2 linked regions of the Cricetulus griseus genome follow. The protein of the gene in region 1 interacts with the protein of each later gene in a biochemical or structural test. Links are inferred from orthologs where the notes say so. Each region holds a gene or a part of one and is shown in the gene's direction. Other genes may lie near its edges.

Region 1 (7,775 bases):
AAAGTAAAATATAATATCTGATCATCAACTTAACACTGTATTAAAAATTACACAGCCAAAAAAAAAAAAAAAAAAGGGCTGGAGAGATAGCTCAGAAGTTAAGAGCACTATCTGCTCTTCCAGAGGTCCTGAGTTCAATTCCCAGCAACCACATGGTGGTTCCCAACCATCTGTTATGAGATCTGGTGCCCTCTGCTGATGTGCAGATATACCTGGAAGCAGAATGTTATATACATAATAAATAAATAAATAAAATCTTAAAAAATCCTCTAAAAATTTTGTGAGCATCATATCCAGTGAGAGATTCTGTCTCAAAAACTTAAGTGGAGAGAGAGGACAACTTGTGTGGACCTCTGTTTTGTTTTTTGTTTTGTATGCGCACATATATAAACACACCCGTGAAAACACACCACAATGTATACACAATAAAATGAATAACATTAAAAATCCCATTAAATAATTTAACTTTTGTGTCTGGCCCCTTTAACTGTCTAGCATACACAGCCCATTGAAAGGAAGAAAGAGGGACTTGGTGAAACTTGAACGTTTAACCCTTGAGATAATGTCTGATCCAAAATACTGAGAAAAATTACACAACCCTGCTGGTACTTTCTGGGTGACTGATGGTTGTTCCTCACGGGGATTTGCAGACATAGCCCTGAAAGACTGTCTGGGTCTTGGTGGCCACGACACCGCAAAGAGCCTCACCTTAGGAAGCAGGGAACCACGGTTCCAGTTTCTGCCCCACTACTGAAAAGCCATTTGGAATTAGCGGGAAGGGAATCGCGGCTGTGTGACATATCTCTTGGAGACTATTTTTGATTATTTCTAAATAAGAAGTTTGGAGCCATTCTACCTCTGGCGTTCTGTGAGTCGTCAAAGTTGTGTCATTTTTAAACCTTCTCTCATGAGAACAATGATTTGGCTGGCTGGTCTGGAGTTAGAAGAATGTCCGTATTGTGGTACACACATGTCACTCCATCTAGGAGACTGAGGCAAGAGCCTCATGAGTTAGAGGGCAGCCTGAATTATGCATGGGACCCTGTTCTAAATGAGTAAATAAATGAGAGTTAAGAGCCATTTTCTTGGAGATATGCTCTTGCTACTTAGCTCCGGCTGTCTCTGAACTCACTATGTAGCCTCGGCTACTCAAATTCATGATCATTCTGCTCCAGTCCTCCCAGTCCTGAAATGACAGGCCTGAGAGTCAAGTCTTTTTCATATTGTCACATCACCGTTGTGACTGTGATTCTTTTTCTTGCCCAGATAGAAGATGATTGCTTTTCACCAGCAGTGTTGGCAGCCTGGAACAAGAGTTCTCTTCCCTTGGTGTTAAAGAGAAAGTGTTGCCCATAGGCTTCTATTTGTATTGATCTTCAGGCAGGGGAACTTGTCCCTGGGGCTTGCCTACTGCCTCTGTGTTCACTTTGTGGACCAGGGTTTTCAGTTGTATGCCCCCAGAGGTAAGGGTTGAAACAATTAGCTTCTTTCGCGCTGGTGCCTAAAGCAGTCAGAGCGCATGCCTTTGAATAAAATGACCCTTTCCTTACATTTCTACCCGAGCCACTAGGTGTCGCCTTCATCTCAGAGAAAGTGTGTTGGTCCTCAGCCTGCAGTCACTCCCTCTCTGCTGGGGAGCTTCTAGCTTCTTGGCACTGTGAATTCTGGAGAAGAGGCTCCAAGGGGGAGAGAAATTGGCTGTCAGCACGGAGGAGAATGTGTTTATGTGCATGTCCTTTATGACAATTTGAGAACTCCCCAAGGTCCCATAGGAGTCCCCTCAGCAATGATGTCATCCCTCACAAGCTGTTCCTCCAGATGGGGTCAGCACTCCAGATGTGGGGTACCTGGGTGAACTTTCTAGTCAGGAATCTTAGGAATGGGGTGGAAAACAAGGTGGGGTACAATGGGCCTTCATTGCTGGGGTCTGTTAGGCTTAGTCAATCTATACACTTCTGTCAAGTGTGGCTCAGGGAGACAAAAGGACGAGGCCCTGGAACAGATGGCTGGTGAATCCAATAGGCGTGAAAGTACGGCCATGGAGACAGAAACAGAGTGGGGAGTCGAGTCCTCGGTAAGAGGAAGACTTCATAAAGACTCTAGAAGAATGTAGAGGTGCCACAAGGGCCTGCCTGTCTTTCGGCTGCCTGAGGAAGAGGTCCCCAGCGTTTAGGAGATTGGTAGAGATTTCCCTACCTAGGAATAGATAAACGGATACCCAATGCTTGGGGATTCCTGACAGCTTCCTGGAGACTGGAGCGTCTGGGGAAATTTGGTTGAGCGAATGGACCCCAAGAAAAGCGGGGTGTCCATCCGGACAGGGAGAAGACAGGCCCAGGGGTCCCCGGCACGCGTGAGGTGGAAGCAGCCCTGCGGACAAGGGACTTGGGGGACTCCCGGGAACCTCGGTGGCCTAGAGGCCCGGGTGCGAAGCCCTCGGGGCGCTCACCGAGTGGTTTGGGGCCTGGGAGGTCCCTGGGCGCCGGGCAGGGGTGGGGGGGAGGCAGCAGCAGCCGGAAGGTGGGGCCGGGCGGGGAAGGGAGGGGAGAGGGAGGGCGGGGTCGGGCGGCCTGCCGGGGAAGTCACACTCGGCCGCCGCCGCGGGCGCAGGGAGCGGAGACGCGCCGGGCCGAGGCGACCTGACCTGGACGAGCGGCGCGCGCGGGGGCCCAGGCGGGGGGCGGGAGGCAGCGCGGGACGCCGGGCCGGGAGAAGCGGAGCCGAGCGAGAGGAGCTGGGGACACGGGCGGGGCCGCCGCAGCTCCGGATGGGACCAGCGCCCGGGCCCGTTAGTCCAGGCAGGAGCTTCGGGAGAAGCCGTCACTGGGAGAGTCACCCCGGCCTTTCTCTGCCCTCTGGCCCAGGCCTCGCTTCGCTCCCTGCCTGCCCATGTCCCAATCCTTCCGCGGCGGGCGCCCTCCCACCTCAGCCCGGGGCTCCAGCTTTTCTCAGCTCTTTGCCCTCCCGGCCCGGTCAGCTGTGAGGTGCCCCCAGGCCGTTTCTTTGTACCAGCCTCCCCCAAGTCCCCACCCCATCCCAGGCTTAGATCCCCCCCTTCTCGGCTTGGGATTGTCAGGCCACTTCACCCCTCACTGTCCTCATCCCGGTCGCAGGCCCCCTTGGTCCCTCCCTCCTTCTGCCACCCTACCCTTAGTCCATGGTCCTTGCTGTAGGCTGGTAGCCCACTCCTTCCCGGCCCAGGCTTCCCCCCACCCCCTTCTTGCGTGGTCCCCAACTCTTTCTGTATCCGAGTCGACTAAGCTTGTCCCCACTTCTCTTCTCGGCCCTCTTCCCCAGGCTCCAGGCTGGGTGGTGCTTGTGCCTGCCCAGTAGGCCAGAGCGGCCCCTGGTTCGGGGGGCCGTGGGTCAGCTGCGCTATCCCCATGGCACTGCCATCACTGTTGCTGGTGGTGGCAGCCCTGGCAGGTGGGGTGCGTCCTCCGGGGGCGCGGAACCTGACGCTGGCGGTGGTGCTGCCAGAACACAACCTGAGCTATGCCTGGGCCTGGCCCCGGGTGGGTCCTGCCGTGGCACTGGCTGTGGAGGCACTGGGCCGGGCATTGCCCGTGGACCTGCGGTTTGTCAGCTCCGAACTAGACGGCGCCTGCTCTGAGTACCTGGCACCACTGCGCGCTGTGGACCTCAAGCTGTACCATGACCCCGACCTTCTGTTGGGCCCCGGTTGTGTGTACCCTGCTGCCTCTGTGGCTCGGTTTGCCTCACACTGGCACCTTCCCCTCCTGACTGCGGGTGCAGTGGCCTCTGGTTTTGCAGCTAAGAATGAGCATTATCGTACCCTGGTTCGCACTGGCCCCTCTGCTCCCAAGCTGGGTGAGTTTGTAGTGACATTGCACGGGCACTTCAATTGGACTGCTCGAGCTGCCTTGCTGTATCTGGATGCTCGAACAGATGACCGGCCCCACTACTTCACCATCGAGGGCGTCTTTGAGGCCCTGCAGGGCAGCAACCTCAGTGTGCAGCACCAGGTGTATGCCCGAGAGCCAGGTGGCCCTGAGCAAGCCACTCACTTCATCAGAGCCAACGGGCGCAGTAAGTGTGGCCCCCGGGCTGTTTTAGGAACTGGGGAGGAGGGCCAATGTGTCCCTGGAGCACAGCACAGAAAAGTAGAGAGAGATAGGCACGGACAAGTCATGTGTAATGGTTGGGATGGAGGAACTTACGAAAACAGAGCACCTGGGAGAGGGCCTGGGTTTGGACAGAGCCTTAGTATCATAGGTACAGATCGGCAAGGCTGGGACTTGGGGAGTGAAGAGTTTGGGGAAGCAATGTGGGTGCTTTGAGTAGTGGATATGGGTGATATCTGCTCTGAAATGTGCACCTGTTTGTGAGCAGAGACTCCTTAGACTGGTGCACCAAGGTATCCTTGTAGCACAGAGATGACTCCGTGGGTTTGGGGCTCTGCAGACTTGGTTGGGAAAGCAGACAAAGCTCACACAAAAATTGTGAGCACAGTGCCTGTGAGCCACGGGAGAGGCAGGTGGGAGAGGAACGTGGGGAGCTGTGAGATGGAGCTCTGGGGAAAGGAGTCACCACTCCGTTCTCTGAGGTCTGGAGTCGGGCTCTGACTTTTGCCAGATGGTCCATGTGGCCCAAGGGCACTTTATGACATGAGCTCCAAGGGGGAGGATGGGAACATCTGTTGGGTGGTCGATAGGTAGGGCACTCTCTTGTAATGGGATGATACAGAACGGGGGCTGGTGGGGGACCTGGGCGTTGTCTCAGAGTGCCCTTCTGTCATGTGCACTCCCAGTTGTGTATATCTGCGGCCCTCTGGAGATGCTGCACGAGATCCTGCTTCAGGCCCAGAGGGAGAACCTGACCAATGGGGACTATGTCTTCTTTTACCTTGATGTCTTTGGGGAGAGTCTCCGAGCAGGCCCCACACGTGCAACAGGCCGGCCATGGCAGGACAATCGAACTCAGGAACAGGCCCAGGCCCTCAGAGAGGCCTTTCAGGTATCTTTGGAACCCAAACCAGAAATGGGGAGAGGCACTGGTTGGAAGGTCTTTCTCTCACAAGACCACAGAAGCTCAGGAACAGGGCAGGACTTGGGAGCTATGGAAGGGAAGTGATCAGAAAGTTTCTATGCCTGGTGTCACTCTTTTTTACCAGGGTATGTGACTGTCACTTAGTGTGCATGCCAAGGCTGACTGCCCCCTCCAGATCTTAGGGTGCTTTCCTGAGTGCCAGCAGTGAGCCAAAATGCAGGAAGCAAATGATCTGAGCCTTGCCTTATGGGAGAGGCAAGGTGAAATTATAGCACAGTAAGTGAGGACACAAATTTGGGCATGAAGCAGATATCAGGATCAGTGATTAAGGGATGAAGGGTAGATATGGGCTGGGATGAGGAAAGTCTTTAAAGGAATTTAGACTGTTGTAATTTTCATGGCAGAAGCCATGTTCACGGAGTGGTGGGATAAGGATCTAGAAGCCCATGCAAGGGAAAGGTAAGAGTTTACATGTTTGGCCTGGTAAGAAAGGAGGGTTCACTTAAAAAAAATGTTTTTGAGACAGGGTTTCACTCATGCCTTGAGCTGGCAGCCCCAGCCTTCCCACTGGGATCTCAGACATGGACTTCAAAAAAAAAAAAAAAAAGTCCACTTAAAGCACTCCTAGGAAATAAGTGACAAAGACAGATTAAAAGGGTGTTGGCCGTTAAGGAATAGGATTTGAGTTTTTATTTATTTATTTTGGTTTTTCAAGACAGGTTTTCTCTGTGGCTTTGGAGCCTTTCCTGGAACTTGCTCTGTAGACCAGGCTGGTCTCAAACTCACAGAGATCTGCCTGCTTCTGCCTCCCAAGTGCTGGGATTAAAGGTGTGTGCCACCAACGCCCAACTGGATTTGAGTTTTTGTATGACAGTAAAGTATAACATAGTCCAGGTTGTGTTAGAAGAGGAGATGGACTGTAGGCTGTCAGGGAATGAGGAGATATGGCTTGAAGCAGGACTATGCTAGGAAGAATGGAAAGAGATGAATTTATAAAAGAACTCGTGGAGAAAGTCGGTGTTGCCATGCATTTCCCACTTCTGCCCCAAACTTTCAACAGCCTGCTCCCTACAGAATAAAATCCCAACTCCTAACCATGACACTTAAGCCCTGGTAGCTTGCTCTCTGCTATCGTTGCAGAAGTCCAGCTGACCCACCCCTTGCCAGCCCAGGCTCCCTAACCTCCTGCCTCTGCGTGATTTGCTCCTTTTGTCTGCATCTTGTTTTTCTCCTTCCCTCGTTCTGAACCTTCTTCCTGAGATCATGGTCATGAGTCTCTGTCTGGTTCCCTCACCAGTTCTTACTGATTTGTGTATATAAGTGTTTCCTATTTATTTATCCATAGCCCTCAAAGAGTATTTGAGGTGGCTTATGGAATGACCTTAAGATCCTTTCCACTGAGATTCTTTGGTTCTAAGCAGAGTATACAAGGGCTGGGCCTGGGTGGCCATTCTTCTCCAGTGAGTAAGTTTTATGTGGCTGTGATTATATATTTGGTTGTGACTGGTGAGCACTCACTGTGAATGACATATCTGTTTGCATGCCTGCCTATGAGTCTGTGACTGTCATACTTGAACATGGGCAGTGATAGGACAGCTTTTGTTTATGTTGTAACTTTTTCCAAAAACAACCATCTCACCTGTGTCTATATAATGATTCCATGTTCTGTAATTCTCAGAGCAGTATTTTGCCTACTAAGGAACGATTCCTAAATCCCAGCTTGAGCTGAGTTTCTTACTCAGCCCACTATAGAGCACATTACTTAGTTCATGTTCGAGTCCCTTAGAGACCAGTTAGTTCATTGCTAGTATTCCCTGAATGTCACCTAACTCAGTACTGGTATGCAATACAGAACATACTAGGACTACTCTCTGTCTTTTTGGAGTTTACAATTAGTAGGCACGACAGACAAGAAACAAGCCTATTCATTGTTGATAAGGGTTACCAGAAGAAGAAAAACAGTTGAGTGGCATGAGAAGAAAAGGGACTGAACCTTGGCTAGTTCAGAAAAGGCTGGTCTACACCTTCCCTGGATCCTTACTCTATAGTCCTCTGGGTATGAATTTTTTTTGTTTTGTTTTTTCCTTTGAGTTCTGGTGTTTAAACTAGGGCCTTATGTACGCTAGACAAGTGCTCCATCACTGCACTACATCATCATTCTCCAGTTGTAGTCTTTGTGCGAGAGGAAAACCTTTTCCTTGTATGAGAATTACCAGCAGCCAAGAGACCCCAGGACTTAGAGTAGAGGAATAAAGGTCTAGTCAGCTAACAGCTATATCAGTTAATTAATTCTTGGTTCCTACCCTCACTGTAGGCCTCGTTCAGACAGGAAAAAAAGAAAGGATTTTGTTACGACTTAAGATAAAGGAAACAGGCAGGGAAGGATAAGCCGAAGGGAGACCAAGGCTTGGGGTGGGTGGGAGTGAGGCATTTTCAGGAAAAGCTTCTCCCATTCATTTCCAGAACTGACAGAGGGGAGGGCAGCATGGAGGTCTGTGGTCAGGTCTGGATGAACAAAGAGCTGTGAGCTTTTCCTTCAGAGATGCTGGTTCACTTGGGTCTCAGACCAAGCCAACCCCGAAAAGATGGTAGATGAGGCATAAGTCCTTGGCTGTAGATGTCCAGAGCCTTTGTAAGCAGCTGGAACATCCAAGGCAAAGATGCCGGCACAGTCTGGGTATCAGTCACTGAGGGGAGGGAAAGAACTGAACTTAAGTATATTGATAGGAATCTTCTTTCCCTTTCACTCCTTGCTGTTGCAGGGC
Region 2 (6,011 bases), about 340 Mb from region 1:
TTTGTTGTTTGTTTGTTTCTTAGACAATGCTCCTAAGCCCTAGTCCTCCAGTTAACCCAAGGAGGTCACTCTACCTCCATTTTCTCCCTGTGTGGCATGCTCAGTTCTGACTTTTTCTCTGGGAACCCTGACCTGTTGGCTGAGATTGAGAAAGAAGCCCTCTTGACACGGCCTCATCTCCAGCACCATGTTTCCCAGCTGATAAAGCCAGTGTCTGTTTTGTGTCACCTTCTTTGCTGGGATGCAACTCAGTGACTATGGAGCAGGCCAAAGGGCAGCCATGAAGGTATTTGAGACAGTCATGAATGACAAATGATCAGATGCCCTACAACACTGCTAACCCCCCTTGAGCCCCAAGGGTCTTTCCTCCCTCCTTTGAGTCAAGAGGAATTGAGGACTTTTGTTTATTGGGAGCTTTTTTTAATCATCAATTATGTGTACAAGTCTGTGTCTGTGTGCGGGTATGTGCACATGAGCACGGTTGCCCGCAGAGGTCAAAAGAAGGCATTGGGTTCCCTGGAGCTAGAGTTACAAGTGGTTGTGAGGTTCCCCCCTCAACCATGTGCTAGGGACCAACCTCAGGTTGTCTGCAAGAGCAATACATGGCCCTAACTGCTGAGTCATCTCTCCAGCCCCTGGGGAAATTTTTAACACTGAGGAGCCAGTACTATACCTGAGGAATTCATTTCAGCTGCTCAGTGGTCGACCCCACTGCTCCCTCACCTCCACCAAGTCCCTGGAGTCGAAGGAAGGAAAAGTGGATTTCCCAGAGAAAGGGAGCTAAGATCCCAAATCTAGGCCCAGAAGAGAAGCCATGAGGAGCATGAAACCTTTGGTCTGTAAGCACTTATGTACTCATCACCACCCTGCCCCAAAGACCCTGCAGACTAGCTGCCTGTCCACCCAGTTCCTGCAACAGTAGTAGCAATGGAGGCTACAGGGAAGCCTAGCCCAAAGTTAACTCATCAAGGGTCTACCGTAAATGACCACAGCTCAAGAGCCACAGGTCATCAAAAGAGTCACTTGCAGGGTCAGTGAAACGGCTTATAGTGTAAAGATACTTGCCTCTTGGAAGCCTGAGTTCCATCCCCAGGCTTCCTCAGGATGGAAGAAGAGAACTGACTCCTGAAAGTTGTCCTCTGACCTCCACATGTGCACAAGAGTACACATATGCCTACACACACACACACACACACACACACACACACACACACAATTTTTAAAAATTTCCCTTGATGAGATGGAGAGTGGAGTGTAGGATGTAGTTCCACACGGGAGTGAGGGTGTCACCCTCGCCTTCCTTGCTTCTCTTCCCTTCTCAAATGCAGTTGGGCTGTCATTTCATAAGTATTAACATCAAAAGGCCATGTGTGGGAGGAGCATGGAGGTGGGCAGCCAATCTTCCAGGACTGAAAGGACTTGAAGCTGATGTCTAGATCTTTCTCCAGGTGATAGATATGTCTATCTAGTATATAGATACATACTAACCCAAATCAGGTTTCACCGTGAGTCTTTTCCTAAACGAAAGGCTGGACGGAGCTTGTGGTCCTCATTTGGGGACTTTGGGGTGCCATGTTGGGAACGGACAAGGAAGAACAAGGCAAACACTATGCCCTTGCTTCCTCTGTACCTTCCAGAACATTTGTTCTCCAGACCTATGGTCGCCCAGCAGTCTTCCCACTGCCCTCCACCTCCATCTTTCTGTAAAACACTAACTCTGGCTCCTGCCTCCCAAATCCCTCCTCAGGGTTCTTCCCTTCTAGAGACCACAGGCACCCGGAAAGGCAGATCCCTGTGAATGTTCCTTTTCCTCTCTCAAGCTTGAGTCCTGTTCCGCACAAAGGACACAAACTCCTGCCCATCACTCAAATTTTGAGACTACAAGCTCTCTGGAGGCTGCTACGTTACAGGGCTCCCCTGAGTCTGAGGGATCAAGATTCCAGGCCAAGGAGAGAAATTGTGTGCAGCAGTCTGGTGTCCATAGCCAGCAGGCAATTCTCCACAGCCCCAAACTCAATGGCCATGATGGCCTGTTGAGGCTTGGAGCTGGGCAAACCCCAGTGCTGCCTATAGTTTCTTATGGTGTCCAGGACACTAAAGTGGACATCCCCACCTGCAGGCAGAGTCAGTACACCATTGAAGGAAGTCCACCTGCCTCCTAGCCTCCTAACGCCTCTCCATCGCCCACACACACACACACACACACACACACACACACACACACACACACACACACGAATTCCTGGCTCATACACATGGATTGATGACATCCTTGCACTGGTGAGTACTGGTTGGTACTGGAGGCTTACATCTCCCTTTACAGCTACACCCGACAAGCTCTCCCACTGGGAATCTCTAGACTCCATCCTCTTCGACCCCAGTGCAAGGGCCTTGTGTGGAGGAGGTCAGCCCTTCCACCCTGGCTAGCACGTGTCAGGCGTTAATGAAGAGTTTGGAAACAGGGCAATCTACTTGGATTTCGGTCTGCACCAACTTTCTACCTGCGTAATTTTGCATAAGGGACATTTCTTCTAAGCCTTTGCACCTGCAAGACTAGTACAGATGCATACCAGGAACAGTGCGCGCAGTGACGACCCAGCCGGTACACAGCGCGCTGGACGCCTAGAAGCCCAGAGCGAGGGCATTCTACAAATGGAGTTCCCTTGTGCGCGCCGCTTTGTGGCTCTGAGCGCAGCCGGTCGGCCGAGCCGCGGGATCCTTTGGAGGTGGGATGTGGGTGGGAGCAGAAGGGGGAGCCCCCGCGCCCCCCTCCTGGCCGTCGATTCGGCCGCGTGCGCTGTGCCATTGGCCCTGGCGGCCGGGTGGGCGGGAAGATGACATCAGCGGCAGGTTGGATTATAAAGGCACCAACCGAGCCACGGACTCAGAGCGCACCCAGCCGGCGCCGTGCAGCAGTGGGACCTGCGCTCGCCTAGCCAGCCTGCTCCGCATCCGCCTGTCGGACTGCTCACCGGCCGTCCGGGCTGCAGACCGTCTGTACCCCTCGGCCCCATCGGCACCATGCACCTCTCCCAGCTGATCGCCTGTGCCCTGCTGCTCACGCTACTCTCACTCCGGTCCTCCGAAGCCAAGCCCGGGACGCCACCGAAGGTGAGTACTGTTGCGGGAAGCTGGACTTGTGAGGGGCGTGAGAGGATGCGGCGCGCAGGAGGGAGCAGAGAGCCCGGAAAGGCAGATCCCTCGGACTTGTGCCCTCAAAGCTAGGACTTCTCTGAATCATTCCTCAGCTTCAGGAGAATGCCATGCACATCTCCCGTGCCCTAATGTGCCCAGCAGGACAAGCGGCACAGAAAGGGCAAGCTCCCCCCCCCCCTCAAGGAGCAGGAGCAAGGGCTGCGTGGCAGGTGGATGCCGGACTCAGCTCTCCCGCAACCGTGGGGGCGCGCTCACGGCTGGGGAGGGTCACGCCACTCTGGAGCCAGCAAAAGTCACCTGCGTTACATCCGTGCACTCTTTCACCTGCCCACTCTTTTTCTCCGACAGGTCCCGCGAACCCCTCCTGGGGAGGAGCTAGCGGAGCCCCAGGCAGCTGGTGGCAATCAGAAAAAGGGTGACAAGACTCCAGGCGGCGGGGGCGCCAATCTCAAGGGAGACCGATCGCGACTGCTCCGGGACCTGCGTGTGGACACCAAGTCCCGGGCTGCTTGGGCCCGCCTTCTGCACGAGCACCCCAACGCGCGCAAATACAAAGGCGGCAACAAGAAGGGCTTGTCCAAAGGCTGCTTTGGCCTCAAGCTGGACCGGATCGGCTCCATGAGCGGTCTGGGATGTTAGTGCAGCGACCCCTGGCGGCGGTGAGTAACACCATGGGACTCTTCCAGATCGCCTCGCTCTGCACCAGGGAGAACCTAGCCCTACTACCATCTAGCTTAGGCTGTTTGGTTTCCTCCTTGTGTTCTGTGGCCTTCCCCCAACCAATCCGGACATGGGATCAAGTGTAAGCTAAACATTTGTCTGCTACCTCACTTATTCCATTTTACAGATTAAGAAAATGAAGTGGTCAGAGTATATGGGCAAGGTCAAAGATCGGGTTCAGCTTAGAGGACCCCATCTGGCTTCCTCTAGAAAGGCATAAACAGGCTTATGTAGACGCAGTCCCCAACCCCACCCTGAACTACAGACTAGCTAGCAATGTTAGCCCCAACTCAGCCAACTGGGAAATTGTTAGAGAGACCCTGGAAAAAAAAAAAAAAGGGAAAGGTGTTCCACCAGCCCGGAGTAAGTTTATCTGCAGCTCTGCAGACAGCCAGAACGTCAAGTGCCAGGACACCTTTCTGAGCCCAATGTCCCTGAAGTGAGGCCGGCATGCAGCTATGCCTGCTCCTCACAGTGGAGAGAAGAGCCTCTGTGGGCAGCAGCAAGACACCATTCTGCCTCGGGCATTCTGAATCTTACCCCTGCTCTAAACCCAACTGTGGGCAAACTGGTCTATCCAGGGTCCTGATGCTGCAGCCCTGGGGCTTCCGAGAGGAACCTTGGGGCTTGTGACCCTGTTTCAAGAGAGGCAAAGGAACAAGCTAAGTCTTATTTCTTGCGCTAACCTCAAACTCAGTGTATCCTAAATGAGGTTTTTACCAACCCTGTCCCCATCCCTCCACTCAGCATGGAAACTTTCATCTTACCAACATGCCCACCTGAGGCTACTCTGTGACTTACTACAAAGACCCTTCTGAATCTCCTCCCTCTCTCCATCCCTGAGCATGTGAAAGGACGGAGCAAGCAGGCCCCTACTGCTTCCTAGCTTTGGCTCCTACTCACCAGCTGCCATTGTTTGCCCCATACCCTGTCTGTCTCACCCCAGGGGTGGAGAGGCTGCTCTCCCCAACCCAGAGGCCAGTGGCCAGTCTTTCCCCATAGGGAATAGGGGGTAGCAGGAACCTTCTTCACAGCATGAGAGACCTTCCCAGAAGAACAGCACGTTATGAACGTGTTTGGGTCCCATATTAACTTAAGGGACAGACCCTCGGGAACCCACACCATACCCAGAAAGGATCTTGAAATATTGGTCAATGACCAGAGAAACACACGCCCCAGTTCAGCAGCTCCACACAGCGCCCCGGCTCTAGACCTCAACTAGCCCTCTCCTCTCTGTACCCAGTCTTGAGCAGGCCGCATTACTTCACCCCCATTCTGCAGGCTGTTGGGAATCTCTGCTCTCTTTCATTCAGGGAGAGAGGTGATTCTGGTACCTACCGGCAAGCCTTGATGCTGCCATTGTGATGCCTTTTGCTCTGTACTGTGTGAATACCTAAGAGATGAAGTCTGAAGAATGGACTTTAGAGTTAGTGCCTGGGATGAGCTTCCCTGAAGATGCCTTGGGTTTAGTCTTGGGCATCTGTGGGCACAGGGTGGTGAGAAACGCTAAGGATGGAAAATCGAGACATTTAAGGCTTCTGCACCCCCTTTGACCAGGGAAGGTCAGCAGCCTCCTACAAGTTCTCTTGGCATAAATGAACAACCGGTAGCCTTCTCTACCCCATGCCCAGTGAAAGGGCAGAGAGGTCACATTTCCAAACCATGCAGTCTTCTGATGGGACTGACCAGTGAGAGCACCTGTTCTTAAGGAAGAATACAAGGCTCGTTCTTCTACTGATAAAAACTCCCAAGCCTGTGACCATGTCTCCACTCAGAGGTTGACTTTGGCTCCAAGCACCATCATAATGACTGTCGCTGATGGTTATAGGTTTTGATTATACTATTGACAGAGACTCGGGTGTGGCCAAGGCCTCAACAGACACTTTGCCTCTGGGCCCCAGGAACATCACACTTGAAACAGACAGAGAAATGAGTTAGGGAGAGTTGCCCAGACCATTACAGCCAGATCCCTTTGTGAATGCTGTCATTTAAGAGTGCCCTGCATGTCTGCCTTTATTCAGAACACAGAGCACTCAAACAGCCATTAGTAGGGACTGGGTACAGCGCTCATCACCTTATTCTCATCCTTCAAACCCACCAATCCAACATGGCTGTTCATTTGCCTGGGCTGGTGT

The links.
Region 2: the proteins of Npr2 (region 1) and Nppc form a complex in vitro, tested with the Homo sapiens proteins (3 studies listed by BioGRID). The link is inferred for Cricetulus griseus from reciprocal best matches to the Homo sapiens genes NPR2 and NPPC.

What each region holds. Positions count from the first base shown.
Region 1 is NC_048595.1:99,893,249-99,901,023, reverse strand, and holds the start of Npr2 (atrial natriuretic peptide receptor 2), read left to right. Parts: upstream 1-2,608; 5' UTR 2,609-3,383; coding exon 3,384-4,050; intron 4,051-4,771; coding exon 4,772-4,977; intron 4,978-7,775. UniProt on the Homo sapiens protein: Receptor for the C-type natriuretic peptide NPPC/CNP hormone. Has guanylate cyclase activity upon binding of its ligand. May play a role in the regulation of skeletal growth.
Region 2 is NC_048595.1:438,340,640-438,346,650, reverse strand, and holds Nppc (C-type natriuretic peptide), read left to right. Parts: upstream 1-3,021; coding exon 3,022-3,111; intron 3,112-3,504; coding exon 3,505-3,795; downstream 3,796-6,011.